Alligator mississippiensis: one gene and its partners. The protein of the gene in region 1 interacts with the protein of each later gene in a pairwise test. Links are inferred from orthologs where the notes say so. Each region holds a gene or a part of one and is shown in the gene's direction. Other genes may lie near its edges.

Region 1 (8,007 bases):
CCAGGCCCTTGCAAAAGGCAGTAGCAAGGCTATTACTTCTTTATGGTAAGTAGTTTGTTGGGTTTTTTAATAAGTTCCTATAAATAAAGTGTTCTTTCCACATCACGAGCCTCATTAAAATACTACCAGCAGCTCATTTGCTGCTTCAGGCACTAGCTACAGCTGTGAGAGGGTTAACACAAGACTCCACCCGTTCAGTTTGCCAAACACACAAACTGCAGCCATCTTGGCAGCTGCATGGCATGCAGTGTCTCTCCACGCAGGCTCCTTTTCCAGCAAAGGAAACAGCTCAGCTGCTTAAAACATGAGCCCCAATTTTAAGGGGCTGAGTTTGGGAGGAGGTGCATGTTGTATGTGAGAAAATATGGTACCTCTTCTGGCTCATTTGACTGTCTCATTTCACACCTCAGAGGCTGGGGAAGAAGTGGAGGTGCAGGGAGAGGACTGCATGAATGCGCATGCCCAGATTCGACTCTCATTTTCTCACCGGCTTTATTTATACGTGCATCTAAATACCTGACAGCAGCCTGTACACACTTAACTGAGGATCTACTGGTTTATCACATCTAAAATGGCATGCCTATATCTGTATGTCCTCAGATTTGTCATAAGAGAGTACTAAGACGGGGTACAGATTGACCTAAAGTACTTTGGCAAACGCATGCTATTATGAATTACCCCTTCTGAAAAATAGAATTAAAGAAAAATATTTTACGTTAAGTTCCTTCTGACTTCAATAATTTCTACTTAGTCTCCGTCAGATAGGTGATCAATAGGAAACTTTTTGAATACACATATTTATACACATCTTTCATGAAAAAAAATCCCATAACACTCAGGGGTATTGTGGACTTCTGACAGTCCCCAGAGAACTCTGAATCCATAAACTAATGAATGGATTACTATGATTCATAAGCCATTTTCATCTGTGACAGATAATCTTGCTCCAATACCATTAGTATTATTTAAACCAGAACTGCACCCCCTTTCCCTCAAATCAGCAGTTTCAAATTTCAAAAGATAAAATGTGGCTGTCAACATGAATAAACTGATAAATATATATGAACATCTGATTTGTGCTGTCTTGAAATTCCAGACTTCAGGGATGAGCAAGACAAGTAGAATATTCTGGTAGTTTTTGCAGGACACTTGGCAGGAGAACATTGGAAAATGGACACTAAAATTTCCTTTTGCAGCATGTATAAAAGCAACATGTCAGTGAAATGAAAGTTATATCGTACACCTGCTTTTTAGGCATGCCATCTGTGCTCTGTCATATCATAATATAGCAGTGTAATGGCACAGCCTCGATGACATGCCACAGATAAAGAGAATGCAACGTACCTCTTGCTCCATTGATGTGAATGACAAGACTCTGTAAAGGTTGCTGCCTAATATTGCAAAGAATAATATTCAAATATATTATATAGTGTTAGTCTTCTGTTTTTCATTATTTACCATATTATAAATATCATAATATCTTCAGCATCAGATGATTAGGTTGCTTCTGAAGGATCTCTAACCTGCTATACAGGTCAAATTAGTACATACCTCTTACAGACCACAGGATGATTTTGCAAACCTATTTGTACTAAAGTTATACTCAAGCTGACAATCTAACCATTACATTTTATTGGTCCATATGTCTGTCATGATAATAGAAATTGTTTAGGATAATTCAAGGGTTCACATAACCTGTTCTGCTGATCCAAAGAGTTTCAAATGTTAAAAATTTCAACATTTCTTGCAAACCAACAGGCATCCTTTTCAACCTTTTAATTAAAGCTGAACAGCAGTTCAATCCTTGTACCAGTTACTTATCTTGGCCTACAAACCACCAGTCATCTGCAGACCACATTTTGGGAACCACTGCAATAATTAACAAAAAGTTCAGTTTGAAATGATGATATGAAAGATAATCTTTCAGAACAAATCCTAGTAAGCATCAGATACTGCTTTTCCCACCTCATTTTTTTTTTGTCAAGCAAGAGAATCACCATCTCAGTGGTTCTCAAGCTTTTTAGACTCAAAGTACCCCTCAGAAAAATGTCAGCTCTTAGTTTTCGCTCCGTTTTGTGACTAGAAAAATAATACAGCAATTCTTCTGCTACAAAGAACTTGGAGCAGAACAGCTCCCATTGGATTCCTATTTGCAATCCTGAGGTTTATCTTGTGAATTATGTTTGCGCCTAACAAAGCTAAAGCTGCAGGGTTCCCCACAGCACCCTTGAAAGGATTTCACAGCACGCCTGTGGAAAATCATTGCATTAATCCTTTCTGTATGTTGAAGACACCTAGAATGAAAAGTACTTAAAATCTTACACAAAAAGTAAGGTAACAATGATCTTCTGACATGTTCATCTGCAAGTGCTTTCACAGCTATATGTAGCCAAGATATACTTGGACATACCTGCTCATGAAAGTGAAAACATCTTGGAGCAAGTCTTTACCATTACAGCAGAGATGTAAATGTTGGTAAGTGATTTCTTGTTTCAAAAGCAAACTGTCTGACTGCAGAGTTGGGGGTCTGTTGCAAAAGCCACCCAGTTTAACTTTACATAGTTATCAATATCGTGTACAAGGACACAAGCTCTAAAGATCCTCGTTTTCACACACACACACACACACACACACCTCTGTTACTAAAATAACAAGAAAATGTGTATATCACAACTCTCTCTTAAGATAATGCTCAGGAGGAAATCAAATCTAAACTGGGAATCAGTCAACTCCTCAATTCTAATCTCTGCATCTGACTCAATCTATGGCCGCAGACAAATAGTTTACGCTTTCTGTTCCACTTTTTCACGTGCATTTGGTGGATAGGTCAACGGGAAGTTACATGGATTCATTATTTGATTACCAGTATTCTGAAGACATGAAACGCTATCATCATTTGGATCCTCTGACAGTGGTTAACATAAGTGAAGGAGATGTTTAATAAAGAGAAAATGTGCCACACATGGAGCGCTTATCGGACAATCATCTCCAAGAAGCATCTGAATGAGTCTGTAGAAGTGCAAAAATGCTCTCTGCTTTGGCTCTCTTTATATTATCCTGTAATGTAACAAAAGATTTCAAAAGCCAAATTTCCAAGGTAAAAAACAGGGGGGGGGAACAGATCTTGCATTTAAGGTGAAGATAAGGGGATAACTTCAGCCCTTGTTTATGTCCTATATGAATGGGAATCTCCAATAGTCACTACGAGATGCTGGCAAGGTCAATTTTATTAATTATTACTACTATTGTGTAATCTTTGGGCTCCGTGTTCTCTCCCGATTAATGATTATTTACTAATGGTGTTACAAGCTTACAGCTTCTCCTAGCAATAAGCAAGACGGGTAACAGGTCAGTGTAGTAGGGACTTGTTAAGGAAAGATACCTCTGTGTAAACACGATGGTCTCTGTCATTTTGGAGACTTTCCCTATGCCCGAAGAAGGGCGTTTGTGCCCAAAAGCATGCCAAGAGCAATTTCTCTTTAGTTGGTCTAATAAAAGATTGCGCATCTACCCAAAGACCCTTGTCTGCCTATTTCAGAGATGGCATAGTTCTGTTCGTTTCTGAGCTGAAAGATCAAATTGTTAACCAAGTAAAAATAAAGGAAGCGAGTAGATTTGAGGGTCAGAGTCCCCCAGCATGCTCTTTTCACAAGCTTCTAGAGTAAAAGAGACATGTTTCAGCTTTCAGGAAAGCCAGTATTCACTGCCAGCTTCACTTTCCGGGAACTTGACTTACAAACGGTGCATCAGCTAAGAAAGGAAGGAAGGTGGTGGGGGAAGAAAAGTCTCTCTCCAGGCAGCAGTTGCATGGATGAGAGCATTCAGGCACCAAAAGTTATTTCAGGGCACTCTGTGCAAGCTCAAACACCACTTAAGAGATGGGGAGAATGAAAAGTGGCTTCTAAAAAATACTGAAAAATTGCTTCAGCGGGCTTAGAGTTGCAGGGGTACAGCTCGTGGCAAGAGCCTAACAAGTGAAATCTTTGCAAGGAGAGGAAAAAAACCAAACAAACCCCCAAAACAACAAAACCCACGAGCAAGCAAACAGAAACACAATCCGAGACCCATGCCCCCGCCCCCAAAGGAAGCAGGGGGCTACCAGCTGTCGGGTTCATCCACGCGGGTCTGCGAGCCTTCCCCGGGCGGCTGCTTCCCGCACAAGTTTCCCGGCCCCGGCCCGGATCCTCCCAGTATCGATAACCTTTGTCATGGCCCTTTCGGAGCCTGTTCCGCTCGCTCCTCCCGCCCGGGGTTGGGAGGGGGGAAGCAGCTGACAGCCGAGCATGTGGTGGATAAATATTGAAAGAAAGTGCGCCGGAGGGAGGGAGAAAGTGCCGCGGAAGGGGGGGAGCAGAGAGAAGCGGCGGGGCTGGGGCGCTGCTGGGAGCGAGCAGGGCGGGAAGGGAAGGGAAGGGAAGGGAAGGGGGAATAATAGCATGAAACCCCACCGCCACCAGCCCAACAACAACAGTGATTAGCTCCTACCCACCTCGCCGGGGCTGGGAGGGGATTGTGTGTGTCTCTCACCTGACTTCCTACTTCACGGGGAGGGAGGGGGGGAGAGGCAGAGCCGCGCACACCCGCCGCTCTCCCCAAGTCAGCCCCCAAAACACGCCGGGCAGGAAGCCGGCGGGAGGGGACAGACAGACAGACAGACAGACGGGCGGGCGGGAGGGCACCAACCGTCCTGCTGCTGCTGCTCCGGCCGAGCCCGGCTCTGGCTGCGGCCGCGCGCCGAGGGAGGAGAGCGGCGGCGGCGGCGGCGGCGGCTCCGGCTCCGGCTCCAGCGCAGGCAACCTCCGCCAGGGGGAGAGGCGAGGCGAGGCGAGGCGCTGAGCCCCCCGCGCCCGGGGCTCCCGGCCCCCCGCCCCGGGGCCGCATCCAGCCGGGCCGCCGCCGGCTCCTCCTGCGCGGCGGGCGGTGTAGCAGCGGGGGCGGGCGGGCGCGTGCGGCTCCCCCCCTTCCTCCTCCTCCCTCCCCCACACCCCCCCCGCTCGCCTTCCTTTAAACGCCCACTGCGGATGGGTGCGAAGCCAACTTGAACTTCAGTGCAATTAAGTTCGCCGGCGCCCGGGAAGCCGACGGTGTCGCCCAGCCTGGCCCGCGCTGCGCTGCGCTCCCATGAGTGAGTGGCCCTTGCCGGGGCCGGGGCCGGGGGTATCCCGCACCTGCCGGGCCGGAGGCGCCGGGCCGGGGGGAAGCGCGACTTGCCTCCAAAGTTTGGCAAAGTTGTCGGGGAGGGCTCGGGCCGGGCAGCGGGGTGGTCCCGGGGCAGCCGTCAATTTGCCGCCGGCGGCCCCGTGGCAAAGCCTCCTTCTAGCATCCCTCGTCCTCCGGCTGCCCTGCGCCGCGGGGGATTTTTTTTGTGTTTTTTCTTTGCCCCTCCTAAAATATATATTACAAAAGGAGCTGGCGATGCTTTGTTCCCACCGGCCGCTTTGGGAGCGAAGCCTTTGCTCAGTGGCCGGGGGGGAGGTCCTGCCCGGTGCCTCCCAAGTTGTCCCAGCTTGGCCCCTGCGAGTGCTGGGGGAGAGCCTTGGACCGCCGCAAACTTGGCTTGACGCGTTGGCCCCCAGCTCGTCAGTGGCAAGGAGTGACGAGGGGGTGGGGGCAAGAATGAGCAGTCAGCTGCATTCAGTCCATCTGCTGGGAAAGGGATCCACCACAGTTTGAGATCCCAGGACTCTCAAGGTGCAGGTAGGTGGGAGAGGAGCAGCCCTGCTTTAGGCTGCTCCATATGACAAGGGGGGGTGACTTTTTTTTTAGCAGCGGTTCTTTCCACTTTCTGTTCTTTGGGTCTAGGCAGGTTCATCGACTTGTCTGCTCCAGGCTGCTGGCAAACATTCGCGTGCAAGCTTACATTTAAAAAAAATTTTTTTTGACAAATGTGCAGACAGGACTAGCAGGAATAGGCATCTGAAATATTAAACAACCTAAGCATCTGTTGTGAAACAAATTTAATGTATTTACTCTGTTTTCTTTCTCGCGTTGTAGGGAAAGGTTACAAGAAGCGTAAAAATTGAAACCAGAGTTGAAGGGAATGGGTTGCATGTTTCAGGATCTCCTTAAGGGTTTCACACAGTCACCAGAGATAAAGGTGTTAACTCAGACGCCTTATTTCAAAACACAACTTGAAACAGGCTGCGTTCAGTGCGAAGGCAGGAATATAGTATAGCGCCTATCATTTGTATCATACTGTTACTATTACTCCACTGTGTTCGTGTGGATGAGGTTATTTGTATGACAGTCCTAAATTGCTATACACAGTTGTATTTTTTTAATGTTAACATATCTCTGTAGTTCTTATTCTTATTAGTTTGCTTACCAAGTGGAGGCAACGTCTCATTATCTATTGGCTATGACTATATAAGTAAAAAGCAAGCAACAAGATAACGCCTGCATGCAGGTTTATAACATATAACAAACAGCATGCATATGGATATAAAATAAGGTGATGTAACAAAAATAAAATCATTGTCTACGCTTGTACCCACTCCTGAATACATTAGCTAATGAAAGAGAAATCACTGACTCCAAGGAATTCCTCTTTGCCCTGTAATAAGAGTAGTCTAAGTTAAAGAAGAACACAGAAGCATAAAGTCTCCAGAAAGCCTGTATAGTTATTTTGGGAATCAATGCATTCCTTCTCTTTTTCCCACAAGTTCAAATATGTAATAAATAATAGTTCTTTGTATGCAAAATGAGTTTACTGAGGCAAAAATATTTAAATGGAATGCATGTTGTCCATACACTTTTAAGAAGTAACAGTTCCTTTCTATATTCTTTGTTATTGATTTTTAAATAGCAAAGTAACTATCTAAAAGAGTTTCCCCAGCTCTTCTCTTGTCATTTTAGCTTCTAAAACAAGTCCTTAAATACTGCTTTTTTCTGAGACAGACGTATGAAACAGGTGAAGTAAGCCTGTGATTCCATGACAGCACATAGTGCTTTGCAAGAATAGGGAAAACGGAGAATCTGCCAAATCAGCCAAAGCATGTATTTGAATGTGATGTAGAAATCATTTTGGTCTGACAGATCATGGTTTGCAGTGTAGGCCCTGGAGGTCAGCTGACAAACACCTGTCCTTATTATTATAGAGATCTTTTGGTTACAGATAGTATTAAACTAAAGACAGTGTGCTCTCTTCAAAGCACCATAGTGATTCTCTAATGTAAACTCCCAAGTGGGATGTAGGCAGGTGCACCTCTTCAAACCAGAGAAGTGTCCGTCTTCTGTGCAGTTAAACCTTGAATAACCACTAACTTCTGTTACGTTACTGTTTCAGTTGGAAAAGGGTTTGAAATCATATGACTTCGGTTCATTCCATCTTGAATTAATATCCAGTATTCTTCAAAAAAAAAAAAAAAATTTAACTATATGAACTAGTTGTTTCTTAAAAATATCCTGTTGACCCAGTTTCTTAACTGAAAACAATAAGATTTAACTCACAGTCCTCCTTAGGCACTTTAGTTATATTTGGAGAATTAGTCAAAGAGGTTACTGTGTTTTAATAAAACTAATATAAAAATATAAAGATCATCTTCTGAATCTGCACTAAAGAAAAAACTATAATTGAAGGTATACTTTTGAATAAAAAATCACAAAAAAGTGATTTTCCCCTCCCCCCCAAATTTTTTTTTCATCCTGTTTCTAGGGACGATGCTAGATACTGCTAGCACAGATACTACTGCAGCATTTTATCACCCTCTTGTGCATACCTGGCATTGCTCTCTCTATATTTAATAAATATCCACTGGAACCACAACTTTCCATCTAGAACAGTTTTAAACATAACTAGAGCATTTTACTTCCTTATAATTTACGTTAATAGATGACGAGTGTATGTACAATCTCCTTAGAAATCATTTTTTTTCCAAAGGGGATATTTTATTTTCAGTTGGGAACTAGATTATAAGAACAAAATAACTCAAAGCATAGGCAATTCTATATATCATTTTATTTTTTATTATATTATGACGATTGTATGATGCCTTCATTAAGAGCAAT
Region 2 (8,149 bases), on another chromosome or scaffold:
GACCTGGTGCAGCAGGGCAGAGCGGAACTGGGTAACTCCTTGCTGCTGCAAGCTCCGCACCACCCTGGCAAGGTGCCCCCTGCCCACCCAGCAGCAGGCGTAGTGGTGCAGAGTTGTGCCCCTCGCTGCTGCCAGGTGGGCATTTCATTTTAATCATGGATTTGGGGTTTTTCAATCAGAGAGTGCATTTTTATCAGAGAATTTGTGATTTTTAAACAGAAAACCAGGATCCTTGCTTATCACTGACTGTTCCTATGAGCACCATGTTGACTGCTTCTTGGATTTCTCCACAAAGCTTTACATTATGAAGGTTTTCCTTTCTATTCAAGGCAAACAAATCACGGTAGCTGGAGCATTTTCACTCTTTTTATAAGCACAAGCTCCCACTTCACTTCCTGTTACCCATTCTTTAGGATACAGATGAGCTTGGTATGGAATCATAGAGTACTGATTCCGTAGCACCCTTTGGAATGTGTAAAAGCCATGAAACCTGAAAAAAATACTATGAAAAGGTTTTGCTAAGGGGCACTTAGAGAGTTTGAGAGGCTGTCATCTGATATGGGGGCACACCTGGGGCTGTAGAGTGCTTTTGGTCACGTTTAGAGAATATATTGAAATCTAATAGATCAATGAAGTGTAAGCAGGACTTACTCAAGACTGTGTAGTCCCAGGGCCTAGAATGAGTTCCATTTCTAAAAAGATGCCCTTTTTAATGTGTGGTTAGGTTAGCGTGCTTGCACAGCAAAAGGGAAGAACGGCAGAAGGCAGGGTAGATTTTCACTTTATAGACTAGCTAAATCAGAGCTGCGTAACAAGCTTTCACAAGCAGCAGGATCAGTTCATCAGATACTCCATTGTAGCATCTGGTGAAGTAAGTCTGCTGCTTATGAAAGAGTATGCTATGCATCTCTGATTTAGTCTGTCTATAAAGTGCAACTTACTTATCTTCTGCCTGACTTCAAACTAATAACAAAACGACTTTCCTCTGCAAAGGGGAAGAGTGTCTGCGTGTGATATGGAGGGAAATGCACAATATTGTTTGCATGTAAAGTCATGAGAAACTACTTGTCGATGTTTAGTTAAAGAAAATGTGGGCAAAGGATTCAAATTTATTTGAAGAGAATCCATCTAGAACTGACCCAGTATAATGTTTACTTTTTTTCTAGTGTTTGTAATTTAGAAATGCGTGATCAGACCCTTGACAAATATTCATCGTGATCTTTTTTCATTTCATTAGGGTGACACAATTCTAGAGACAGGAGAAGTAGTCCCACCACTGGCAGAAGAAATTAGTGGTCATCACTGAAAGAATGAATGTGATATGATAAGCACTGGCTTTGTCCTTATGCAAGTGCGTTACATATATGTGGATGAACTGTACAATAAAGTCCACTTCCGTGAGATTAACGTGTCATCTTATTTCTTTCTAGGTATGTTTATTATAGAAAAGGCTGTTGTTCTCTCAACTCACCAGTGCATATAGTAGATAGTAATTTCAGGAACCTGCTTATAGGGACAAACTGGTAAAGTAAGATAATGAAAAACTTTTAATAGGAATCTTTGTTCGGAGTTCTTGTCGGGCTAACAAAAAAGTTGAACTTTTTATGTTTTGAGTTAAAAAATACTAAGTGTTTTCAGCTTTTCTGCTAAACAATCTACGTGGTAAAGCTTTGACACAATTATGGTAGTTTTAATAGTTTGAATTGGCAGCAAAACACATGCACCAGACAAACACTTAATCACTTCAAGAGGAGTGACTTAACAATAATGACTAGTTATCCATGAATGACAATCACAGCAAGTGAAACAGTAACTACTGATAATTAGTCACCATTACCTACTGCATTTTGCATGCCATAGTGACATAATAAAAGACTAACTTCAGACATAGTGAAGGAAAAAAATGATACAGAAATGCTTAATGTACAAATGTCTTATTACAAAAATTCAGCGTGTTTGCTATATAATAATCAAATGATTACAGTGGAGTAAAATCAGTCAAACACTTTTGCTTTGTGCTTTTACATGCACTCATTGCCAAAATAGAAGATAATTCTGCAAAGTGGAACAGTTGATCATCTATGTCTTGTTGAGCCAAGAAAAGCTGAAGAGTATCCAATGCTTTGCGAGCATCAGCTGGCTTGACAAGTGGTATAGAGGGCATCTGGATTTCTTCATCACTCACTTCACTGTCATCACTTGCATCATCTCTTTTGCTCTGCACTGCTGCAACAATATCCTCATCAGAGCACTGTTCTGCCACACAGAGAGAGGAATCAAAATTGATATAATCATCTGCTGTGAGAGTTGATGGCCAGATGCCTAAACTCTGAAGCTGTGAGCGCAGTTCATTCATGTTAGATGAGTAGAGTGCTTCAAAGTTAGCTGCTTCTGGTGGTACATGATGCTCTTTGACAAATCCGGCATGACAAAAACAGCTGGCAATTGTGCTTTGCTGCACCAAATTCCAAGCTTGTTTTATGAGCTGAACTGCCATCAAAACATCTGGCTTAAAGCACTCCTTAGCATCCATGGCTAACAAGATCTTGCTCATCAGCAAACGACGATAGTGAGCCTTGAAGGTTTTAATCACACCACTATCCATGGGTTGGCTGTGTGACGTGGTATTAGGAGGTAAGAAGACAACCTGAACAGCCTTCAAGCCACTAATGCTTGCTGGATGAGCTGGACAGTTATCCACAATGAGTGCCACTCTTCTTTTCTGAGTGTGCATCTCTGCATCAAAATCTCGCACAAACTCTTCGAAGACAGCACCAACCATCCAAGCCTTCTTATTTGCAGTGTAATACACAGGGAGACTCTTCACATTTTTGAAACAACATGGGTTCTTTGATTTACCAATCACCAATGGTTTCCTTTTATCACTTCCATCCATATTTGCCATCAGCAGTATGGTTAGGCGCTGTTTGCTATGCTCACCATCAATGCACCTCTTGTCTCTAAAAGCCAGAGTTTTATTTGGTAGCATTTTGTAAAACAGGCCCGTCTCGTCAGCATTGTAAATGTTCTTAGCATCATATTCACGAAGGATAGAAAGCAAGGTTGTGTTTTTCCACAATTGGATGCCCCCAACAGGGATTGTCTTGCCCTCGCCGCAGGCTCGCTTCAGTGAAATAGCATGGCGTGCCTTGAATCTTTCCACCCATCCTTCATTGCAATTAAAATCGGAGATGCCCAGCTGACTGGCAAACTGAACAGCCTTGCAGGCTAGCAAGGGCCCGTTAATAGGAACGTTGTTTGCACAGGCTTGTCGTAACCACTGCACCAGGCAAGCCTCTACATCGCCATTTAACGCTGTACGCATTCTCTTTCGATCTGGACGAAACATTGCTTGGTCAACGGCATCCAAAATCTTTTCCTGGTTTTGCAGCCAGCCATTCAGTGTGGTACGTGGCACACCAAATTCTTTACATACTTGGGCTTTTGATTTACCTTTAGCTATTTCTCGTATGGCGTCTGCTTTCCTGCTCAATGTGGTGCTTCGATATGCCTTACCGCTCATTGTTTCTCTATTCAAATGCTTGGCATCAAGCTGGAATTAGGCCTGGCTGCTGCTTGTCACATGCCTTAAGCTGGTTCCCTCACGAGAGCACTTCAGTTAAATCTGCAATGTGTTCGCAAGGTGGCGGTCAGTTTGATACGCCAAAGATTTATGGAGAGCAAACTACATTGCACCTCTGTATGTGGTGACTGTGGGAAATTCACGGCTTATAGTTTGCACCAGTGACAAAGTAGCTGAAATGCTTTGTGAATAGGAATGGTGAAATGCACTGAAGAACACAAGAGGGACAAGTTTACCTAATGACTAAACTGAACCCAATTCTGCTGCATTAACTTTTCCCCTTAATTTTGATGAACCGTTAGGAAACTATCCCGTTTTCAGAGTACTTTGCTGTTCAGGAGCACATGTCTTGGATCCCTCAGCCGCCCCAGCACCCGATCCGCTCTGGCTGTCATCCTGCCGGCTGCTCTGGGTGCAGCCAAAGTCCAGGCCTGGCCTTTCAAACCTGCTTCTCCCCAAAGGGCAGCTTTTGACTGTGTCTCAGGCCCCCAGGGAAGAACTGACGCGACGGCTGGTTTGAACGGGGGAAAGCTGCCGCAGGCGGGCTGCCTCGCACACGGGTGGGAAACAGCTGCCACCGTCGAGTCGCCTGCCTACCGCGGGGCAGCGCTTGCTCACGGTGGCATCAGTGCAGGGCTGTGCTCTCCCGGGCGGCCTGGGAGGGAGGCTGCAGGTCTCCGCGGGGAGGCGCGGGGCATCCGTCTGCAGCTGCCCCTCCCTCCTGCCCACGGGTCACGGCTGGGCGCGGGCCCGGCGCCCGGCCATGCTCAGGGCAGAGAGGAGTCGCGCTGCAGGCGGCCCTGCGCTGCGCGGCGCGTGGCGTAGATGACGAAGCCCCAGGACAGCAGCACCAGCACCGCCAGCACCTGCGGGAGGACCACACGCGTCAGGCCGCGCCCCGGGGCCCGCCCCCCACGCCGCCCTCCCGGCCCGTACCACGGTGTAGACGCGCTCCAGCTGCCGCGGGCCGAGCGGGGCCATGGTCCCAGCGCTCGGGCGGCGCCTTCCCGCGGGCGGGGCGACACGGGGTCACTATGGCGACCGTCAAGCCCGGGGGGGGGGAGAGCTATAGCGCCGCCATATTTAGTGCGGGCACAGACTAAGTCGAGGTTGGGGTGGCATTGTTCTGCCCGCAGTCAAGATGGCTGCCGCGCGGCGTCACCGGCGCAGCGTGCCCCCTCACCTCCTCCCTGGGGGCGGGGGAGGAGAGCGCGGCTCTCCCCTTCCGTTCCCGGCAGTCCCCGCACCGCTGTCCCGGGCCGGCCCGGGCGGCGGGGGGGGCATCATCCATGTGCGACCCACTGCGCTGCGGCTGCGACGCGCGACGCTGCCTGGGCCGCCGCCGCCTGCGGGTCGGGCCGGGCGCCACGAACCGCGCGCGGGCGGCGCCTGAGGGCGGCGACGGGCGCGGGGCTGCCCCGGGTGGGGCGCGGGGCGGCGGCGGCGCGGTGAGTGCCTGGGCCTGGCGCGGGGTGGCGGCCTCGTCCTTTGTCTGCGCACGGGGCAGGGCGGGGCAGGCCGCGTTGTTCCTTCCTCCTTCCCTCCCCACCCGGCGCCCCCGGGAGGAGCCCGGCTTCGGCGGTTCGGGCCCTACTGCCCGCCCCGCTCCGTGGGGGCCCCTGGTGGTGCCGCCTTCCGTACACCAGCCTCCCAGGTGCGGGTGGAAGTTTCCAGCAGGCGGGTGGGGGCGGGGAGTATCAGGGAGAGTCACAGCAGTGGTCAGGTCCTTCCTGCTTTAGGCTGATGATCAGGGAGGGAGGGAGAAGTCTGGGCTTGGAATCTCCCGACCCTTCCCCCACAGCCTGTGCTTGGGTGAGTTGCAGCCCTGGATCTCGTGCATGCAGGAGAAGGTCAGTCTGAGCCCCTGTTTACAATAGGCTGCTTCTGCACCCAATACTTCTGCCAGCGTTAAACGTCCTTGGTTTTCTGGCGGCTTGCGTGGCTCCATGTAGTAGCTCTGCTGTGTGAGCCTAAAGTGTAACCTGGGCGGCACCAGCTGTAGGAAATTTGCTGGTGGAGGGGTCCCCGTGTACCTGATGGCATCAGAAGCCTTAGCGTGCCCAGCAGAGGTGGGCTCATTCTGCTGGTTCTGCTGCTGCAGAGGAGGTTTGGGTGTGGACATCTGCCTGTAAAGCTTTGTAGCATAGACTAGGCTAGTGGTTTCCAATCTGTGATATGCTAACAGCCTGTCAGTGGTACGCGTTAACAGATCTATTATAATTACTTTATGTGACAAAAAATTGCTGGTGGTACTTAAGGTTGTATCATTTTAAATGGGTGATGCGCAACCTGTCAGAGTTTGGGAACCGCTGGACTAGGCTTCAAGTCATTCCTTTACGTGGGAGTATTTGTGCTCTTTAAGACATGGGGGAAGGAGGACATGGAAGTGGTCACACTTTGTGTTTCATGTAATAGTCTAGTAGGTAAAGAATATGCCTGGAAAATGCTTTCTGTGTCCTCTTCTGGCTGAGGGGGCTCCTAACATTCTCCATATGAGTGGGGGTTAGCAGCCTTTTCTGGTGCCAGGGTGAAATGACCCAGCTCTGATTGAAGTGTTACAACCCAGCTGCCACTTCTCTCTGCTGCCTCACCTTGGCATAGTATGTGCAAAGTGCCTGGCCAGCCAACACAGCACCACCAAAGCTTCCCTGCCCCCAGTGCCCCACTCCATGGGCCAGATTCAGCTTGTGGGCTGTAGGTTGCTTATCTTTGCTAGTGTTTCACAGTGATCAGACAGAGCTAAGCAGGGTAGGAGTAATCTTGCTGAAGATGTATAGCAAGGAATGAAAGACTAAGAACAGGGAGCAAGAGCCAGCATGCTCTGCACTTAGTAATTAGGGTGCACTTCTGAATGTCTTGGCTTACACTGTCTGTTTTTAGGTTTGTTTGTGTATTGGGAAGTGGGAGGCATGGTTTTGAATCTGATCAGGCTGATGAGAGCACAGATTTTCCATATCCCAGGTGGTGGCACCACCACTACCACCTCTTCCCCTGGCAGCCACATTTTTTAAATGTCTGATGTAATGCTCCCAGCTTGTTAGATGTGGTGCTTGGAGCATGCCTCCTCCAGTAAACCTAATTTGTGAATCCAGGCTGGACTTAGGCATGAATCTTACTCAGCCTTGTCCATAGGATGTCAGCTTTAGACTTAGAAGGCATCTGGGCAGCATGGGGGGTGTTGCTGGCAAAGGCTAGCAAAGAATTTAGGCGCTTATGGACTTCTAGATGTCTAAGCAGTTAGGCAAGGGGCTTAACTAGATTGTAGTTTGTTTATTTATTTGCTATGATTTATAGCCTACTGTATCCAAAAGGTTTAGGACTAGGGTACCAGAATTAGTCTCTGTCCCTTTCTGTATCTAGATATATTCATCCCCAACTGAAAATTGGACAGAGGGAGTTGCCTTTGTAGCAGGAATGTGATGTTTGCTGTGCTAGGAGAGGTGTCTGTGGAACAGGATACAAATCTCAGTTTTCATTCAGTTAGCAGAGACTTGGTATCATGTGGCAGCTGAATTGCCTGAGAGACCATGTGTACTGTGTGTGCTACGGCCCAGGGCTGCAACGGTTTAACAGGACTTTCCCTGCAGTTACTGCTCTTAGTTGCTCTGGCACCAGTGCAGGAACTGAAAACAGAGCAGCTGTATTTCTGTGCTGCTCTTGGTGTGTCTAGCTAGTGTGGAGGAGCTGTTGACTGACTCAAATGCAGAGGCTTCAAAGAAATGGACATGGGTCAGCAGTGTGGGAGGGATGGTTTTAAAGATGTGATTGTGGGGTGGGGGCTGGAGTGGAGCTGCAGCCAGTGGCAGGGAAGGGAAGAACGAGGATTGAGATCAGAGTAGCCCTTACACTATGGAGTGCTGACTTCTCTGAAAACTCACTAGGTTGAGGGTCAGCAACCTATGGCCTATGTACTGGATACAGCCTGCAAAGAGACTTTATATGGCTGCCAAGCATGCTGCTGCTTCCCCAGAGCCACAGCAGAATAGGACAGGCAGGACTACTGTGCCTCCCAGCAGTAAGTGGGGTCTTTCTGGAGATCCTTTCCGGATTCCAGCCAGTCCAATTCTGTTCCACAAGAGCTGACGCAGAAAGTTGCTGAGCTCCAGTTGCAGCTTGTTGGGATCAATGAATCCAGTTTAAGAATCAGCAGAACTGTGTGGTGGCAGTATTTGACTTCCTTCCACCTCCTTTCTGCCTGCTACCATCAGCTGCTTGGCCCCTATGTACAGAAGCTGGGTCAGAGGTAGCTGATTGGGCTGTTTTGGGGGACAGCGATTCATTTAGGTGTTTTGGATCACTGTTCTGTTTTGATTTGGCCAAATCTGTTTCAGAGATTTGGATTGGCCGGGGAGAGGCAGGCACAGTGAGGTGACTGCTGGTTCTCCCGTGGCTCCTCTGGCTGTGCCTGCCTCTGCCTCTGTGGGGGAGCTGCAGGAGAAAAAAAAAAAAGCCAATGACACTTTATCGTGCATCAGCAGATGGATGACGAAATAGGTCCAAGGAGGTGATACTTCCCCTCTATCGGCTGCTGGTCAGACCGCAGTTGGAGTACTGCGTGCAGTTCTG
Region 3 (8,122 bases), on another chromosome or scaffold:
TCCCAGGACGTCATTCTCCCATTGTACTCAGCCTTGGTGAGGCTGCAGCTGGAGTACTGCGTCCAGTTTTGGGCCCCACAATTCAAAAAGGATGTGGAGAAGCTTGGGGGAGTCCAGAGAAGAGCCACGCGCATGTTCAGAGGTCAGGAAAACAGACCTTACAATGACAGGCTGAGAGCTATGGGGCTCTTTACCCTGGAAAAGTGCAGGCTCAGGGGCAATTTGATGGCCACCTATAAGTTTATCAGGGGTGACCACCAGTGTCTGGGGGAACGTCTGTTCACCAGAGCGCCCCAAGGGATGATGAGGTTGAACAGTTATAAACTACTGCAAAACCGTTTCAGGCTGGACATAAGGAAGAACTTCTTTACTGTCCAAGCCCCCAAGGTCTGGAATAGCCTGCCATCAGAGGTGGTTCAAGCACCTACATTGGACACCTTCAAGAGAAATTTGGATGCTTATCTTGCTGGGATCCTATGACCCCAGCTGACTTCCTGCCCCTCGGGCAGGGGGCTGGACTTGATGCTCTTCCAAGGTCCCTTCCAGCCCTAACGTCGATGAAATCTATTCCAGAAGACTCCCCAAGCTTGCATGTAGGAGACAGCAAGTAACTTCATGTATGGACAAGTCCTATGGAAGAAATAAAAGGTTACATTTTACAAGGGTGATTAGTCCTCATCATTTCAAAACTTTGACTGATTGACAGTCGCAGTCAGGAGGGAATCCCTCTGTTTTAGAGCTGTGCAATTGGATGGATGCATTTTGCAATGTAAAGAGCTGGAAGATTCACGGACTAATGGTACTGTAGTAAAAATGTGGATTTTGTTCGTTCTTGGAAAAGTGTATTTTTTCACTCTTCCATAGCTCATATATATAAATGGGAGAGTGAAACAACATGCTTTTCCAAGAGTGTACCATATGCTTTCTGTATACAATTGTACACAATTGTACTTTCCATATATTGTACAGCCTCTGGCTTCTTTACTTTTCATTCCATCTAGGAAGAGCACACACCAACTGCTGAACTTCCTCAGCCTGACAAAGGGTTTTTGAACCTGAAAGCTTGCTTAAAAATTGTTTTCCAACTATTTAAGTTGGTCTAATAAAAGATATCAGATTCACCCAAAGAACCTTGTCTGCTAATATACTTTCCAAAAGTAAACACAATCTCCATTTTTTTCAACAAAGAACAACAGCAAAAATGGATAATATTTGATTCTGGAAACAACTGTGGCCATGGTCAGAGAAATATTTTTCAAAAGTGCCTAGGTCACATTTTCCAAAATAACCAAGGCTCTTGAAGTCAGCCTAGTGAATACATTTAGACACCTAGATTTGTAGATGGGCACTAAATGGCACTTTAAAAAACACCTGCTCCCCAGATCCTCCCAGGTATTATTTATTATTTTATTTGGCAGACAAGGTTCTTTGGGTGAATCTGATATCCTTTATTAGACCAACTATTAAATAGTTGGAAACTATTTAAGTTGGTCTAATAAAAGCTATCAGATTCACCCAAAGAACCTGGTCTGCCTATGTCCGTAGACCAACACGGCTACAACCTACACCCTTATTCTACTTAAGCATTTATCACTCCTTGATTTCAGCTAGCGGATCTTAGGGGCCCAAACATTTGGAAGATCTCGGTTGAGTCATCTGAATTCCATTGACACTAACGTGTTTTTTGGGTTGTTTTTTTTTGTAATTTCCACTTGGCATCTATGTGGATCTTTATGTCTTTTATAAATCTAGCTCTGAAGGGTAGAAGTGAGACTCCAGCTTCAAATTTTTAAGGCAAAGGGGCACATAACTGAAGCAAACTATTCTCTTAAATGCACAGGTGACTTGAAAAACAGATCACAGGATTCCCTGCCTGCCCCAAAGCCTTCTATTCTGGGATCCTACAGCAATACAAGCTCATTGTCCCACCCTAGGTACCTGTGAAGAACGGAGATAACACCTTTTCCCAAGGCAGTTGGGGATAATTGAGTTAATTGCCATTAAGTGTGCATGCCTTAAGGACTGAGCCTGCTGCCTGTTTTTATGCAGAGTTAAAGCCTGGGCCAAACAGCTCCAAGATAAACTGGGCTCCGTTTTTTAGCCTAAGGTTCCTAAGTCACTTTGACACTTACAACATTGTTTCCCGTGATCTTTCGAAAGGCACAAATAGTCCTTAGGTGCACAACTCCTGTTGATTTTCATGGCGGTTTTGCTACTTTGTCCCTCAGAAAAATCCCCTCCCCAAACAGTCCTCAAGTCCAAAAATTATGAAAAGGGATCTAGGGCCCTATTCCTTTGCAGAGGTTTCTAAGCCCACTGATGTGCATACTGTAAACTACATCTGTCATCTCGTCAGAATTGGGGCCCATGTCGGTTACTTGAGTTTTGAAAGATTATAGTAGAAACTACCCAGTACTTCTGAAAATCTGTGAGATCTGAGGAAGAACATCTTGCATCTGAAAGTTTGTCTCACTTTATCCCAACTACGTAGTTTGCCCAATAAAAGATATCATCCTAAGAAAACCTTGCCTCTCGCATAATGTCTGGACCATCAGGGTTACAAAAATCACTCTTATGCTACTTTGAAAATCAGGTTATTTATCGAGGTGCCAAATATGGATGTAGGAATCAAACTTTGTGAAAATCTTGACCAACAAATACTAGATAGCACCTTTGCCTAGTTTACTGGGTTGCCACCTCTTACTGTTTTATTCTAGGATGACAAAATATTGGTCATGCCTTTTAATTCCTGCCCCTGGAAACAAAGGATTACTTGAAAATCTGATCTTTCATTTTTAAAGAGAAGTTTCTAGTTCTTGTGTTATAAAAGACTAAAAATATTAACTGATTGTACCTTAACATGTAGAAATCAAAATGAGAACCAAAAAAAAAAGAGTCCCAAATAGTTTTACAACATTTTTAGGTACTCTTATGGTATTTTGGGTCTTGAATAATGATTTTTGCTTGCATAGGGCTGGCAAGGCTGTGTTGGAATCCAAACCTTTTGAAGCAAATATATACATTTGAAATCTGCCTTCAACCTATGCTCAAGAGAAAGGTTCCTAAAAGGAAAAGATATAAAAGACTTGTGCGATTTTATACTTCTCTTTGGGTTTTTGGAGGGGGGTTTTTGCTTACTTTGTTAATATATTTAAATCAAAGGCCAACCAACTTTGAAGATAGATAGATAAAATATCTATCTATCTATCTATCTATCTATCTATCTATCTATCTATCTATCTATCTCTTGCACCTCCTATAGTTTATCTATCTATCTATCTATCTATCTATCTATCTATCTATCTATCTAATAGGGGTTTTGCTGCCATGGCAGAGCTGTGAGTGTGAAGTGTTATGCAAAAACCTGTATCTCTGCCTGTGGTTGTTACTCTTAGACACAGTGATATAACCACACCACCAAAGCACTTCAGCCCCTTGAAGCTAATGCCGACAGCCCTGTGGGGTAAGGCGGGTTTTTAAAATTAATGTTCATTCAGATGATCACAAGACGTTTGAGGGTCACACTTATGATTTTTGAAACTCTGGGGTCGCCGGTGCTAAGGCCTGCACCACCAGGACAGCAAGTCCCAGAAAGTCAGGACAATGCCGGCTAGCAGAGCTTGAGAGGGCAAATCTGAGGATCTAAATTTAGCATCTTCCTGACTGCAACTCCAGCTGAGTCATAGGACATCATTTGCTTTGTATCTGTTTCCATCTTGCCATATGGGTAAGGCTCATTAACATCCCTGGTGCCAAAGCCCAGGGTGTGTCAGCTGGAACAGAAGCAGGTCCATGGACCCTTTCTTCTTTCGGGGCTCTGCCCCAGGGGGCTGGGTCAGACCTTCCTGAGCCATGGGTGTCTGTGGGAGGACTTCAAAGTACAGATCCCCACTAGAAGGGAGGAGATAGCAGCAGCTGCATATTACCCTTCCTCCCCTCATCAGCCCTGGCAGAGCCTGTTCCACTTCCCAGGGATAGGCGGAGACTGGAAGGTTTTCCTTGGATAACTATGGTGGGCAACGGTGGGATCTCCTCCTCCTCCTCCTCCTCTCGGCTACTATGGAGAATCTTCAGGGGAAAGATACAGGCTCAGATCAGCCTGGGCCTCGTTGCAGGGCCAGGGTATCAAGCTCCTACGGAGCCAATCTGCCACGCGGTCAGTCGCGGGCACAGCCAGGACGCGCAAGGCCGGGGTGAGGACGGCTCCGGCCTCCCTGGGAATCTGCCAAGTTTATGGGATGCTCCCACAAGACACTTCATTCAGCTCAGGACTCGTGGTAGAGGCGATACCTCTTATTAGACCAGCTAGATTTTTGCAAAACAGTTTCTCGGATTGCAAGCTTTCGGGCGCAAGCACCCTTCATCGGGCGTCAGAGAAGAGGTTGGAAAAGCTCTGGATAGAGATGAAAGTTTCTTTCCTGGGTAGATGTGGAAGATCATAATCCCACAGGACACTAAAGCGGGTCAAAGCCCAGTCCCCAGGTGGGTAAGTAGGGTGGTGCGGGTGGGTTGGTAGGTGCGGGGGTGGGTGGGCATGCGTGCAGGGGTGTGCGTGGGTGTGTGCAGGTGTAGGTGTGTACTCCCGGGAATGACAGAAATCCAGCCCATCGTGGCGAACGATCCCAACTCCCTTTCTCCCGCAAGTTGGATCATCTCTGGAGCCCGACGGGCAGCTCGCACATGTCAAGCAAGCAGGATTTGGCCTTGTTCCCTCAAAGGACACCCTGCACCCATGAACCCACGCGGTTGGGAGCGATTCCAAAGATGCATCCCTTTGCCTTCGCCCTGAACCTGAGGACTGATGCTATACCCCGAATACAGCAAAGGAAGCACAGCACTTTACTGCGGACTATGCTCCTTCCACCCCGTGCTCGCACCTCCCCGCCCCTGGTTGCACGTGGGCTGGGCGTGAGCCCCGCTCCCTCCCTATCCCCGCCGCGCTCGGCCCCTTTAAGAGCCCGCGGCTGTCACAGGCGGAGGGGGCGGGTTTTTGGCTGCAGGCGGCGCCGGCAGGCGGCTGCACTGCGCCTGCGCCCGTGGCTGGGGCGGGAGCGAGGCTGCGAGAGTGCGCTCTGATTGGCCGCGCTTGCCCCCCTCGCCCCGCCCCGCCCCGCCGCTCACGTGACCCGGCGGCGGCTCCCGGCGCGGTGGACGCTGGAAACAAGATGGCGGCGGAGCTGGTGGAGGCGAAAGTGAGTGAGCGCCCCCCCTCCCCCCCCTCTCCCACGGGCGGCGGCGGCGGCCCGGGGCTGGGCCGGGAGCGGGGCGGCGGGGCCCGGCTCCGCCCCAGCGCGCCCGGACCCTCCCCCGGCAGCCGGCCGTGCCCCGGGGTCCTGCCCGGCCGCGCCCCCGCGGGCCGCACCTCGCCCGCCGCTCCCGGGGGACCCCCGCGCAGCCCGGGACCTCCCGCCCCGGCCCCCGCTCCTTCCCTCCTCCCTCTGCCCCGCCGCCTGCCCCTGGGGTCGCCCCGGCCCTCCCTCCCCCTCCCTCGGCTCGCGGGGCTGCGAGGGGCACCGGCCCCAAGCGATGGCGGGCAGCGTCCTCCGCTGGAAAGGCTTTTGGCGCAAGTTGCGAGGAGCTGTCCAAATACCTCCCGGCGCACAAATTCACAGCCGAACACTCCCGCTCCGCGGATGGTTTTGCTGAGGTCCGCGTCGAAGGCCGGGGAAGCTTTCGGGGATGAGCGTGCGGCGCCGGACGGTGTCGAGGGTCCCGGCGACCTTTGCATTTCAATGGAGGGGCTTTCAAAACGCGTCTAGTTTTCCAGAGCATCCCGTATATATAGTCTTGTGTGTATATATATAAGGGATGCTCTGTCTCGTATATAGCACCCAGCTCTTCTTTGTGGTCCAGCCCCACTGTGCAATACCCTGGGGTGTCTGAAGTGGGTGAACGCACCCGGGGATGAGCTCGAAGGCAAAGCTTCCTGTCAAATCGCCGCTCCTACCCGGCGACGGCCGAAGGTGCTTGGCGTACGGCCGGGTTAGGCTGGAAGGAAGGAATTCGCCTGCCCGGGGCAGCTGAGGGTTCGCGGCGCTGCCTGAGACGTGGCAGGATTGAAAAGTGGCAAAAGGATTGAAGGACGGATGCCGGTGGTTTGATCCCGCTGTTCTTCTGATGGGAGGCACCGTGGACACGTTGGTCATCGAAGGTGCGCGGGGGTGACGTGTGAGCCAAGCCGTCTTTCCTGCCCAGATGATCTTGTGAGGTCTCTTCCAGCCCTAAACTTGTGTGAATCTGTGGGCTTGGCAGACTGGAACTTGCCATCTTCTGCGCCCCTCGCCCACACGACCTCCTAGTTTATGGGAAAGCCTGCATCTGCATTGATATTGAAATAACCTCGTTAGCTAACGAAACCTGTATTTGTACCCGCTCCTTGATGAGTGAGTGACCCAAGCGTCTAGTGATTTGTTTTTCTCTGTGCCTAAATGTTTTGGGTTTTTTTTATTGGTCAAAAATCATGGTTGTGTTTTTTAAGACTTGAAACGCTTCTAAATATAAACTGCGTAAATGTAAACTGTTTTATGCTCCTGATGCCCCAAGTGATCTGAAGGCAAGAACAGTAAGTGCAGCAATAGCTTTTTTTGGAGGTGTTTTTGACTCTCTTGCAGTAGACATCTCACAGTCTTTAACGTTTCTTTATCTTAACTCTGCGGGGTGGCAAAGTCCTATTTTTTTCCATGCTGCAGACGAAGAACAGAAGCACAGAGACCAAATGACTCATCCCGAGCTACACAGCAGCTCTGTAGTGAAGCAGGGAAATGAACCCAGGTTTCCCAAGTCTTAAGACAAGTGTTCAAGCAACTGAACTTTCTCCAAAGCCCTTTCCCCCTTGCCAGAAGAAATTCCAGAACATCTCGGCTACCCGGCGTCTCAGTCCAGCCAGTGAGTTTGAGTTCTGTGTCCTCTTCAGTGAACCAGGAAGTTAGAGGCTTTCATAGTAAACTGAGAAAAATAAAATAATGTTAGGCCTTTCTGGGCTGAATACTACTTCCCACAAATAAACATGGCAAGTGAACGTTTTTGGTCTTACTTCATTTTTTTTAGTTTAAAATTAGTTTGTCCCTCTTCAGAGAATCACAAGAATACTGCTATCAACTGGTTTGCGTAGATTAATCTGACTTCAGATGGAAAGATCATTACTGGCTCTCCGATTTCACCTTCTGCTGTAGAATACTGTGTATAAAACACAAAGTACATTGAAGTGATAAATGTAGGTGCCCGCGAAACATTTTCAAGGCAGTTTGCATTTATCGGAAATGCACTTCATCGGTTCACCCTGAACACTTGTGACATTGTTTTTGGTAGTCAGGAGGGTCAGAATGATCAATCTCTGAATCTAAGCATTACTTTTAATTTAAAAAGCTCTTATTCTTATGCAGATAAGCTTTCCAATGTAGACAGATGCAATGTTGTCTTCCTGAATCTGTGAACAGGTATAGGCTCTCTGAACTTCCACAAGCATGAGAAGCTGAAATTGAGGAGATTGGCTAGTTTTAAATGGTCTTGAAAACCTTGGGTCTGCCTTAACTTAATGGTTTTATGGTGCTCCATTAGAACAGTAGCGAGGCAGGCACTGGGCCTGGTCATAGGGGTGGCTGGGCATGGGCCAGAGAAGCAAGTAGTCCCTTGGCATCCTTGCCCATCTGGCAATCTGATAGGCCCTGCTCTCACCCAGAGGATAAGAAGTCCTGGGTGATAAGGAAAGGAACTGTTCCCGTGGGCACAGGAAGACTGAGTAGAAAGGATTCTTTAAAAACATCAGACTGCAGTGACCAGAGACTGCTATGAAGATGAAATATTCAAACAGAGTCCAGAGAATACATCCTGGCAGAAAGAGGGAAGATGCTGAGGATGTCTAGCATCAAGACCTGGGTTTCTGACCAGAGGGTTCCCTGTGAATGTCATTGATGGCCTGGCCTGTCTTCCTACCTCCTGCTCCAAGAAAACCTCTTGAGCATCATCCTGTGGCTTGTTAGCATTTCAGTTCTAAAACAGGCATATGTGAGAATTCTCCTGCACATGCAGGCAGTGCTGATAACACTGGGATAGATGTGGCAGAGTCTTAAAACAGGGCGTTCTTCATACAGCCGGGGGAGCACTGTTGCTAGAGCTTCTATCT
Region 4 (7,492 bases), on another chromosome or scaffold:
CATGCTGAGACCCTTGCAATGCTGGAGGGAGCAGGGGTGGTCACAGCAGCTTGGGGTGCAAAGCCAGGGGCTTGCAGACCAGGCCAATGGCTTTTAAAGTGAGAGGGTGGCTGGTGAGTGCAGGTTTCCTTCGCTGAGCAAACTGGCAGCATCCGCTCAGTGGCAAAAATGGGAAAAGCCAAGGTGAAGCACTGAATTCCTCGGGCGGCTCGGTAGGGAGCACTCTCTCCCCTTGCTCCGTGCTGCCCCAGGGGCCTAGTCCATGCTCCAAATCGCCCTGCGCTAAATAAGCCGACTTCGATCCCATCTCGTCCGACCGGAGCATCGTTCTCACTGCGTGCGCTGGGTCTGTCTTGCCTGCGGTCCTGGACAGTGCGACCCATACCCTGTCTCTCCCTGTCGACAGTTCCCGCTGCAGCCTCCCCCGGTCCCTGCAGCACAGCTTGCCTGTGGCCACCAGCTGTCGAACTCGCAATACCCCTCGATGCTGAGCGACGTGGGAAGGCGCTGGGTTGCAACCCTCCCATGGCAGCTGCGGGTTGGGCCTGCGTCCTGGAAGCAATGATCTTGCGCAAGGATCTGGCTCGTGTCTCAGGATCAGGACTCTCACCCCATGTGGAAAGAGACTTGTACCCCTAGGATACTGAAGCAGCGATTGCTCGCCTCTGGGTTTGCTTTGATCTCTGCCTCCCAGGGCACCGGGGATCTAGCCAAGAGACATCTACAAGACCTGAGATGTCACAGGGTCTGCTCCCTGCCATGTGAACTGCCATCATGATAACAGCTGCTAAGACAGCCTGGCAGCGTGGGGGGGGACAGGGACCCAGGACACCTGGCTCTTCTTGCCCTCGCAGTGTGCCCGAAGCCATGTCCTGTGCCTCTCTGGGCCTCAGTTTCCCTCTGTGTATCTTGTCTATGTCAAGTGTGGGTCCTGTGGGGGGATTTTTTCTGGCCATGTGTGTTTTTTTTACATGCCCACCACCCAGGGGGGCCCAATCTTGCTTCTGAGGGTCTCCAGATGCTGCCTTAAATCCACTAAGAAATAATCTGGAAAAGAAACAAAAGCCCAAATCTTCTCTGCTGGGCTGAATCAGCCTCACTGCCCCAGAGTCAGGCTGGACTTGACAGGTCTTCCCCAGCACTGGAGCTGGCCCTGGGTCTTTCCCTTTCATGTCTAACATAGTCATTAAAGTGCTGCAAAACTGCATTCACCTCTTTGGACATTTTGATTTCCCTCGGGGGTACTCCAGACAGACCTCATGGCCTTCTACTTGTGAAATTCACGGTCGTTGTCATCAGCCCGGGGTGGGTGGTATAGGACACCTTCCCTGATCACTGCTGAGAGCGGAGAAGGGGCTCCCTATGCCCCGTCCTGGGTAGTGCTATGATATGCATGGTGGCCTATAGCAAGGAAACAATTGCATTAAGAGCCTGGCATCACCCCAGCATAAAACAGAGTTGCACCAGTTCGGATGTCCCAGGGGCAGAGACTGCCTCTGCATCTCAGATCTGTGCAGCACCTAGCATCAGGGGTTCCTGGTACTGCCATAGGATGGGTCACAGTGATTCAGCTCGAGCTGTGGTTTACTGGGTGAGCTTATCCTGGTTCAGTGTTTGGATGTGTTGGTGCTGGGGGTTAGCCTCTCCGGGTTCAGCTCATCCCTCTGCTGCCAGTTTTCTGCTTCATGCCCTGATGCAGGGGCTGCCAGCCAGCTTGGAGCTGGGCCCCGGACCACAGGCGGGTTCCTGCCTGGTTGCCTCCTGGTGCCAAGTGTCTGGATGGCAACGGCAGGATGGGCATCACCAGCGAGGTGCTCACTGTCTCCCCAAAGCTGGGCATGGGAGGACAAGGCAGCCTGTGCTGGTGGGGCTGGATCCCCCACCTGCACCCCCAGCCCGTCTGCTGCTCCTGGGCCCCATGGCAAGCTGAGTGAGGGATGCTGGCAGCAGGCAGTTTGTCCATCGCCCCACAATGCACCGCACAAGCGACTGTTTCCATAGAGAAAAGGAGGAGTGTGCAGGCTTTTGTTGTCCGCTCAGTTAGGGAGCAGAGAGAAATCGCAGTGCTCTGGGTTTTACCTTCCCAACCGTGTACGGATGGAAGCAGATGCATGCCCCACTACACTGGCATAACATATATGGGGGTAGTTTTACAGCAGATTTTTCCCAGGGTAGCTTTACTCCAGCTTCTGGGTCCTTACACTGGTGCATTGGTTCACATCATCCCCCCACCCATCGCTTCTACTGGTGTAATCATGCCTAGTGTTCAAACCCAGGAGAGCGGGGAAGTGACTCACCAAAGGTCCCTTAGCAAGTCGGTAGCACAGCAAAGGTCAGGTGCTATGATCCGCGGTCTCATCCAGCGCTAAGCCTGCTGATTGATTCCCATTCAGAACAGGCAGTGGGAAACAGCCCATGGCTGAACACTGTTAAGCTGAGAAGAAGTGGGGAAATTATTCCTAACATCTTCAAAGGGGCCTGTGGACAATCTGGAGTAAAGGCATTTAAAACTAAAGACAGTCCAAGCCTGTTCTGAAATAATCATTATTGTCCTTATGCCCTTGTTCGCACCCACAGAAGTAAAGTGCGCAGTCTTTATATGCAGCTGTCACCTCCAGGGTCCCAAACCCTGTGCAATTAGTCTTAAAACCACAGGATTTTTTAACAAAGATTCATGTTCGGTGCTTCTTATTTGCCTGCTGTTTTGGATTCCTTCGGGCATCACGTTTCCATCCATTGGCCAGTGACAGTAGCACGCTGAGTTTCTGTTAGAGGTGCAAACACCAAATAATTCAAGCTGCCAACAATGAGGTGTGAGCTCTGTTCCCCAGAGAGGTAAACTGAGGCATGGCAAGACTGGGGTGAGCAGAGGATGCAGGGTCTTCTTGACCCAGACTATGAAGACATGGACTCTTGAGTGAATGGGCTGGAGGAGGAAGGAAACCAGCTTTGGGGAGAGAAAGTAGATGGCTGCAAACCTTGTCTCAAACAGCACCTTGCAAACCCTGGCAGATTCACATCAACTCAGGAGAGAGGTCTCCGGCTGCAAGATTGACCTTTCCTGCTTCCGTGTGGTGAGCGTCAGTGCTGATGGCAAGCACTGTTTCTGGGAACCAGCATGGACTGGACAGTGGACTGGAAGCACTGGGCATACCTGCCTCTGTGTCGGACCTGTGTATCACAACCCCTTCTGAGCCTCAGTTTCCCCTCCCACTCCAGGGCTCTTCATATTGTAAGCTTCTTGGGAGAGAGGCCGTTTTGTACGTACAGCACCTTGCAAAGCAGGTCCTTGTCTTTGTGGGGCAGGTAGGTTGTGCTGTACTTCAACCAATGAGCACAACACCATGGCTTTCCAACTAGCATCACTGCCGAAGTAACATAGCTAAGATTAGAAAGGCTATTTGTGCTAATACATACTAGCAGCATGTATTGCTAACTGCAGATAGCATCTCCCTGTGACGAGCATAGCCCCTATTTGCTATGAGCTCTAACAAGAAAGATGAGAGAATGAACAAGGCCCCCAGCTGCTACCCTTGCTAATACCCTCTGTATCCCACCCTTCCTCCCCCTTCTTCTTCCCTTCCTACCTTCTTTTCTTTCTCTTTCAGGGTCCTGGCATTTGAGAGGCTGGGCACTTGCTAACTATGCTTGACTGTGCTAGCAGCAGCTATCAACCATCAGTTCGGGGGTGGAAGCCAGTAGTTTTGCTAATCCAGATGCCTCCATAGTCTTTGAGGCCTAGAATATTAACTCCAGCCTGCTGGCAGCTACTTGGCCCGTTAATACTCAAGTGCCATTAACTAGTAGTAACATTGTGTCCAAGTGCTCTACTAGTGTTCCTGGTTAATAGGAATCAATACCTAAAGCTGAAAGTAATTAATACTCCAAGTGTCTACTCAGGACTGGCATGGCAGCAGCCGCTATCTAGGAATAATGGCAACTCTCAAGTCATTTAGTGCTACGAGATCCCGTGCTCTCTGCCACCAGCGACTCGGCAATGCTTTTAGCCGGACGGAGAGCACGTGGCAGCCTCCAGACAGCGCTTCTACCGTGTGTTCGGCTGCAAGATGGATCCCAGATGGCCTGAAACCGTAGCCAGCGCAGTATTTGCTGTACCTTATGGCTGCATTTTAATGCCAGATGCTGTTTGGGACAAGTAACCTGTTGGCTTCAACCTCCCTCTGATCCTGCTCGTGGGGGGATTATGCTGCGTGTCTAATAGACCAGCTTGGGCTGATCTTGATCAAACGGGGACCTGCCGACTGTCCCTGCGGTCACTGATTTCAGTGCTTTTATTGTTTCCCTCCCCAGAGAATGGTTAGAAACGTCTGGACCACATTTGTACAGAGGTGTGGTCTGCGTAGACGCTGCTTTTCCTTTGACTCCGCGGTTTTTGTTTCTCTTAGAGACGCTGGCGGGGACCCCAATCGGAGCAATGCAACGTGTATCTGATGGGTTGGGGGCTTCATCAAACTTTCTCTGCTGGGCATCTCTACCCCGCTGCTCCCGGGAACCCCCATCTCACCCGGCACTCACAGCAACGGCCACTGCCTTTGGGTGTCCGCACCTCCGGGGAGCCAGCGGCCCAGATCCAAGCGCGGTACGGCCTGCCGTGCTCACCACCGTCGCACCTGGGGCTGGGGAGGACGCGGCACGCACGCCGGAGGGCTCCTTGGATAGCCCAGAGACCACTTAGCTGTTTCCTTTTGACACGTGCACATTTTAAATTCCTTCTGGCTTGTTTTGCCCGTGGGCGAAACCAGGTGAGGCAGCAAGGGCTGGAAGGGATGGGGACAGCCGGGTCCTTAGGGCTAATCACTGGGCACTTGTCCCTGGTAAGAAGTCACGGGTGGGGGTGCTGGTACCCGATGCTCGGGTCAGGGCAGGGCTGGGGGCGGCAGCAGCGAGACTGGGGCTGCTCCTGGTTCATGCTAAGGTTTGATCTTAATGGCAGCTCATGTGTGGGTTGGGGGGTCTCTCATGCCCCTGCTCGTACTCAGAGTTGGAGGTACCTAATACCCTGCTAATGCTGAGGGCTGGGGTCTCTACCCCCTGCTAATACCCAGGACTGGGGGTCTCCAGTACCATTAATACCCAGGGCTGGGGTCTCTAATACTCTTGTTAATACTCAGGGCTGGGGTCTCTGATACCCCTGCTAATACTCAGGAATGGGAGGGGCGTCTTTAATACTCTTGTTACTACCCAGGGCTGCGGGGGTCTCTAATACCCAGGTCTAGGAGTATCTAATACTCAGGACTGTGACTGGGTGGGGGGGGGGTCTCTAATACTCGTCACCCCCCGGACGCGCGTATCCACTGCCCGGGGCTGGCGGTGCTGCGTGCGGCGGGGCGCGCGGTGCGGAGTTTAGCGCCGCTCCCTGGGCCCGGGCCCCGCCCCCAGCTCGCGCCCCGCCCCGCCCCGCCCCTCCCCACCCCCCCGCTCTGCGGCTGCCGCCGGGCGCGGAGTTTTGCCCGGTCCCTGGCGCGCGCCGCTCGGCGACGATGTCTCAAGATGGCGGAGGCGGCCGAGCTGAAGGTAGCGCCCCCCCCTCCCCCCGCCACACACCCACACCCACACCCCCGGGGTGGGGGGGGAGTCATGGTGGACTGAGGGTGGGGGGGCCATGACGGGGAGGGGGGCTGTGGAGATCTGTGATGGGGGGCTTGGTGGGGGAGGGGCCGGCATTGGGGAGAGCCGTGATGGGGGTGGAAGTGTGGGGGAGGGGTTGGGGGAGGAGGTGGTGAGGTGGGGTGGGGGGGGTCAGGGGCAGGTGTGGGGGTGCGCGCAGGCAGGTGCTGGGGGGCCGCAGCGGCCCGCGGGGGTTAGGGCAGGGCATGGCAGGGGCGGGGAGGGGCACGCAGCCGTACGTACGAGGCTGGTTGAGAGCAGTGGAGCCGGGGCAGCCCAGGGGTTGGGTCAGGGGACGGTGCGGTGGAGGCAGGAGGACAGGCAGGGTGCCCGTCCCCAGGGCTGGGGGGATCTGCCATCTCGGGTAGGGCTGAGAGCTGGGCGGGGGGCTGGGGCTGGGGGGAGCAGGGGTTGCAGCAGTGTGAGGACGATGCTGGGGAGGCAGCAAGGGGCAGCCCCGCTGGGGGGTCGAGCTGCACTCCCCCCACGGGGAGCGGGGACGTGGCTCCCCGCCGAGCCGGGGCAGGCTCTGGCCGGGGCGCGGCGTGCGATGTGGTCGCCCTGCCTGACGCTCGGCTGCAGCGTCTCCCTCCACTCCTTCTTTTTCTCTTTCTTGTTTATAGGAGTCAGAGTGTAACCACCTTTGCCCACCAGACTGTGGAATATGAAATTGCCCCTGGTAACTAATCCAGAGCTGATTGGGGTCCGCGCTGGCGGTTGATATTGTTTCCCACAGACTAGCATGTAGCCAGCTCCAGTCGCCTGCCCCAAGGCTGGCGACACACGGACGCTTAGGACCAGAGCAGGGATCTCATTCTCTACAGCTCGTGCTCCTCTGCGGTCTTCCCAGCATTGACCCATCCCCTTTTGATAGTCACTGAGGGGCTTGATTTCCACCCCCCCCCCCAAGAAAACTCTTAATGACTTCAGTGTGACTGTCTGGTTAATGTCAAAATATTCACGATCAACCTGAACCCAGGACTTAGGGCTGCAAAATTCCAGCTCCCTCCAGGATTCCTGCTGTAAAGGACCTGGGAGATTTGCCCCCCGTCCCAGAGGCTAGGTGGTTATCCAAAGGCCCGACGTCCACAAACTCGGATGCATAGCATGTGCTGATTAGGGGCCCTGATTCTGCCCAGGTTTCTGGGCATGTGGGTGATACCGCTGGACTCAACAGGGCTGTTCGGGTGCGTGCGTTAAGCACATGCATAAATCTGCAGATCAGGCTTGTAGCTAGCAAATAAGATATACTGCAAAACAGCATATGCAGAGGGGGAGGCGGGTGGAACATGCCTGGCATCTCATGCCGTACTCCTCCTGCACATAAATCACTGAAAAATAGATGTAGCTTAGCACTAGGTTGTGGATTCTCTAAGGTTTGGAGAGTCCTGAATGGTCTCCCAGGTTTCAGAGTGTCTTTTGGACCCTGAATTCTTCTGAATTCCCTTGTCCACTTCCTCTACCCCTTTCTGGTTTCCTAGCCAGTGGTTAGCTTCAGATTTTCACCATCTGGCTCTCATTGTAAAAGAAAGAGGAGCCAACTGGAAGTGAAACGATTTCTTCCTATAAAGTCTGGAGTGGGTTTGGACACCTTCCTTTATTTAAATGACCAACAATGACTCCTCTGGAAAGAGAAATGCTGGGAGCTTGTAACCTTTCATCGTGCTACAGTCGTGCATCCAGGCTGTTCAGCCCGGATTCGAGGGGTGTGAGGATCATTCACTAGACATGCCTCGGGTGTCCTCCGGGAGCTCTCGATTGGGATCTCTCATGGCCGTGAGAGTTTTTCCTCTGCTGTGCTACAATTGTGTGACCAGTAACTGGAGAAGGTTTAGGTGTAGATAGGAGCCCACAATGTCACAGT

What was found.
Region 2: the proteins of SATB1 (region 1) and TOPORS interact in a two-hybrid assay, tested with the Homo sapiens proteins (2 studies listed by BioGRID and IntAct). The link is inferred for Alligator mississippiensis from reciprocal best matches to the Homo sapiens genes SATB1 and TOPORS.
Region 3: the proteins of SATB1 (region 1) and PIAS4 interact in a two-hybrid assay, tested with the Homo sapiens proteins (2 studies listed by BioGRID and IntAct). The link is inferred for Alligator mississippiensis from reciprocal best matches to the Homo sapiens genes SATB1 and PIAS4.
Region 4: the proteins of SATB1 (region 1) and PIAS3 interact in a two-hybrid assay, tested with the Homo sapiens proteins (2 studies listed by BioGRID and IntAct). The link is inferred for Alligator mississippiensis from reciprocal best matches to the Homo sapiens genes SATB1 and PIAS3.

The regions. Positions count from the first base shown.
Region 1 is NC_081828.1:151,601,354-151,609,360, forward strand, and holds the start of SATB1 (DNA-binding protein SATB1), read left to right. Parts: upstream 1-4,695; 5' UTR 4,696-5,121; coding exon of another isoform or gene 5,122-5,125; intron 5,126-5,339; exon of another isoform or gene 5,340-5,697; intron 5,698-8,007. UniProt on the Homo sapiens protein: Crucial silencing factor contributing to the initiation of X inactivation mediated by Xist RNA that occurs during embryogenesis and in lymphoma.
Region 2 is NC_081826.1:167,090,868-167,099,016, forward strand, and holds the start of TOPORS (E3 ubiquitin-protein ligase Topors), read left to right. Parts: upstream 1-4,872; coding exon 4,873-5,031; intron 5,032-5,047; exon of another isoform or gene 5,048-5,237; intron 5,238-5,312; exon of another isoform or gene 5,313-5,421; coding exon of another isoform or gene 5,422-5,433; intron 5,434-8,149. Other genes in the region: NDUFB6 (NADH dehydrogenase [ubiquinone] 1 beta subcomplex subunit 6), read left to right, coding at 1,238-1,306; tigger transposable element-derived protein 4, read right to left, coding at 1,979-3,523. UniProt on the Homo sapiens protein: Functions as an E3 ubiquitin-protein ligase and as an E3 SUMO1-protein ligase. Probable tumor suppressor involved in cell growth, cell proliferation and apoptosis that regulates p53/TP53 stability through ubiquitin-dependent degradation.
Region 3 is NC_081839.1:5,585,871-5,593,992, reverse strand, and holds the start of PIAS4 (E3 SUMO-protein ligase PIAS4), read left to right. Parts: upstream 1-5,085; 5' UTR 5,086-5,165; coding exon 5,166-5,192; intron 5,193-8,122.
Region 4 is NC_081838.1:17,651,491-17,658,982, forward strand, and holds the start of PIAS3 (E3 SUMO-protein ligase PIAS3), read left to right. Parts: upstream 1-4,436; 5' UTR 4,437-4,451; coding exon 4,452-4,763; intron 4,764-5,432; exon of another isoform or gene 5,433-5,511; coding exon of another isoform or gene 5,512-5,535; intron 5,536-6,068; exon of another isoform or gene 6,069-6,292; coding exon of another isoform or gene 6,293-6,307; intron 6,308-7,492. Other genes in the region: ANKRD35 (ankyrin repeat domain-containing protein 35), read left to right, coding at 407-565. UniProt on the Homo sapiens protein: Functions as an E3-type small ubiquitin-like modifier (SUMO) ligase, stabilizing the interaction between UBE2I and the substrate, and as a SUMO-tethering factor.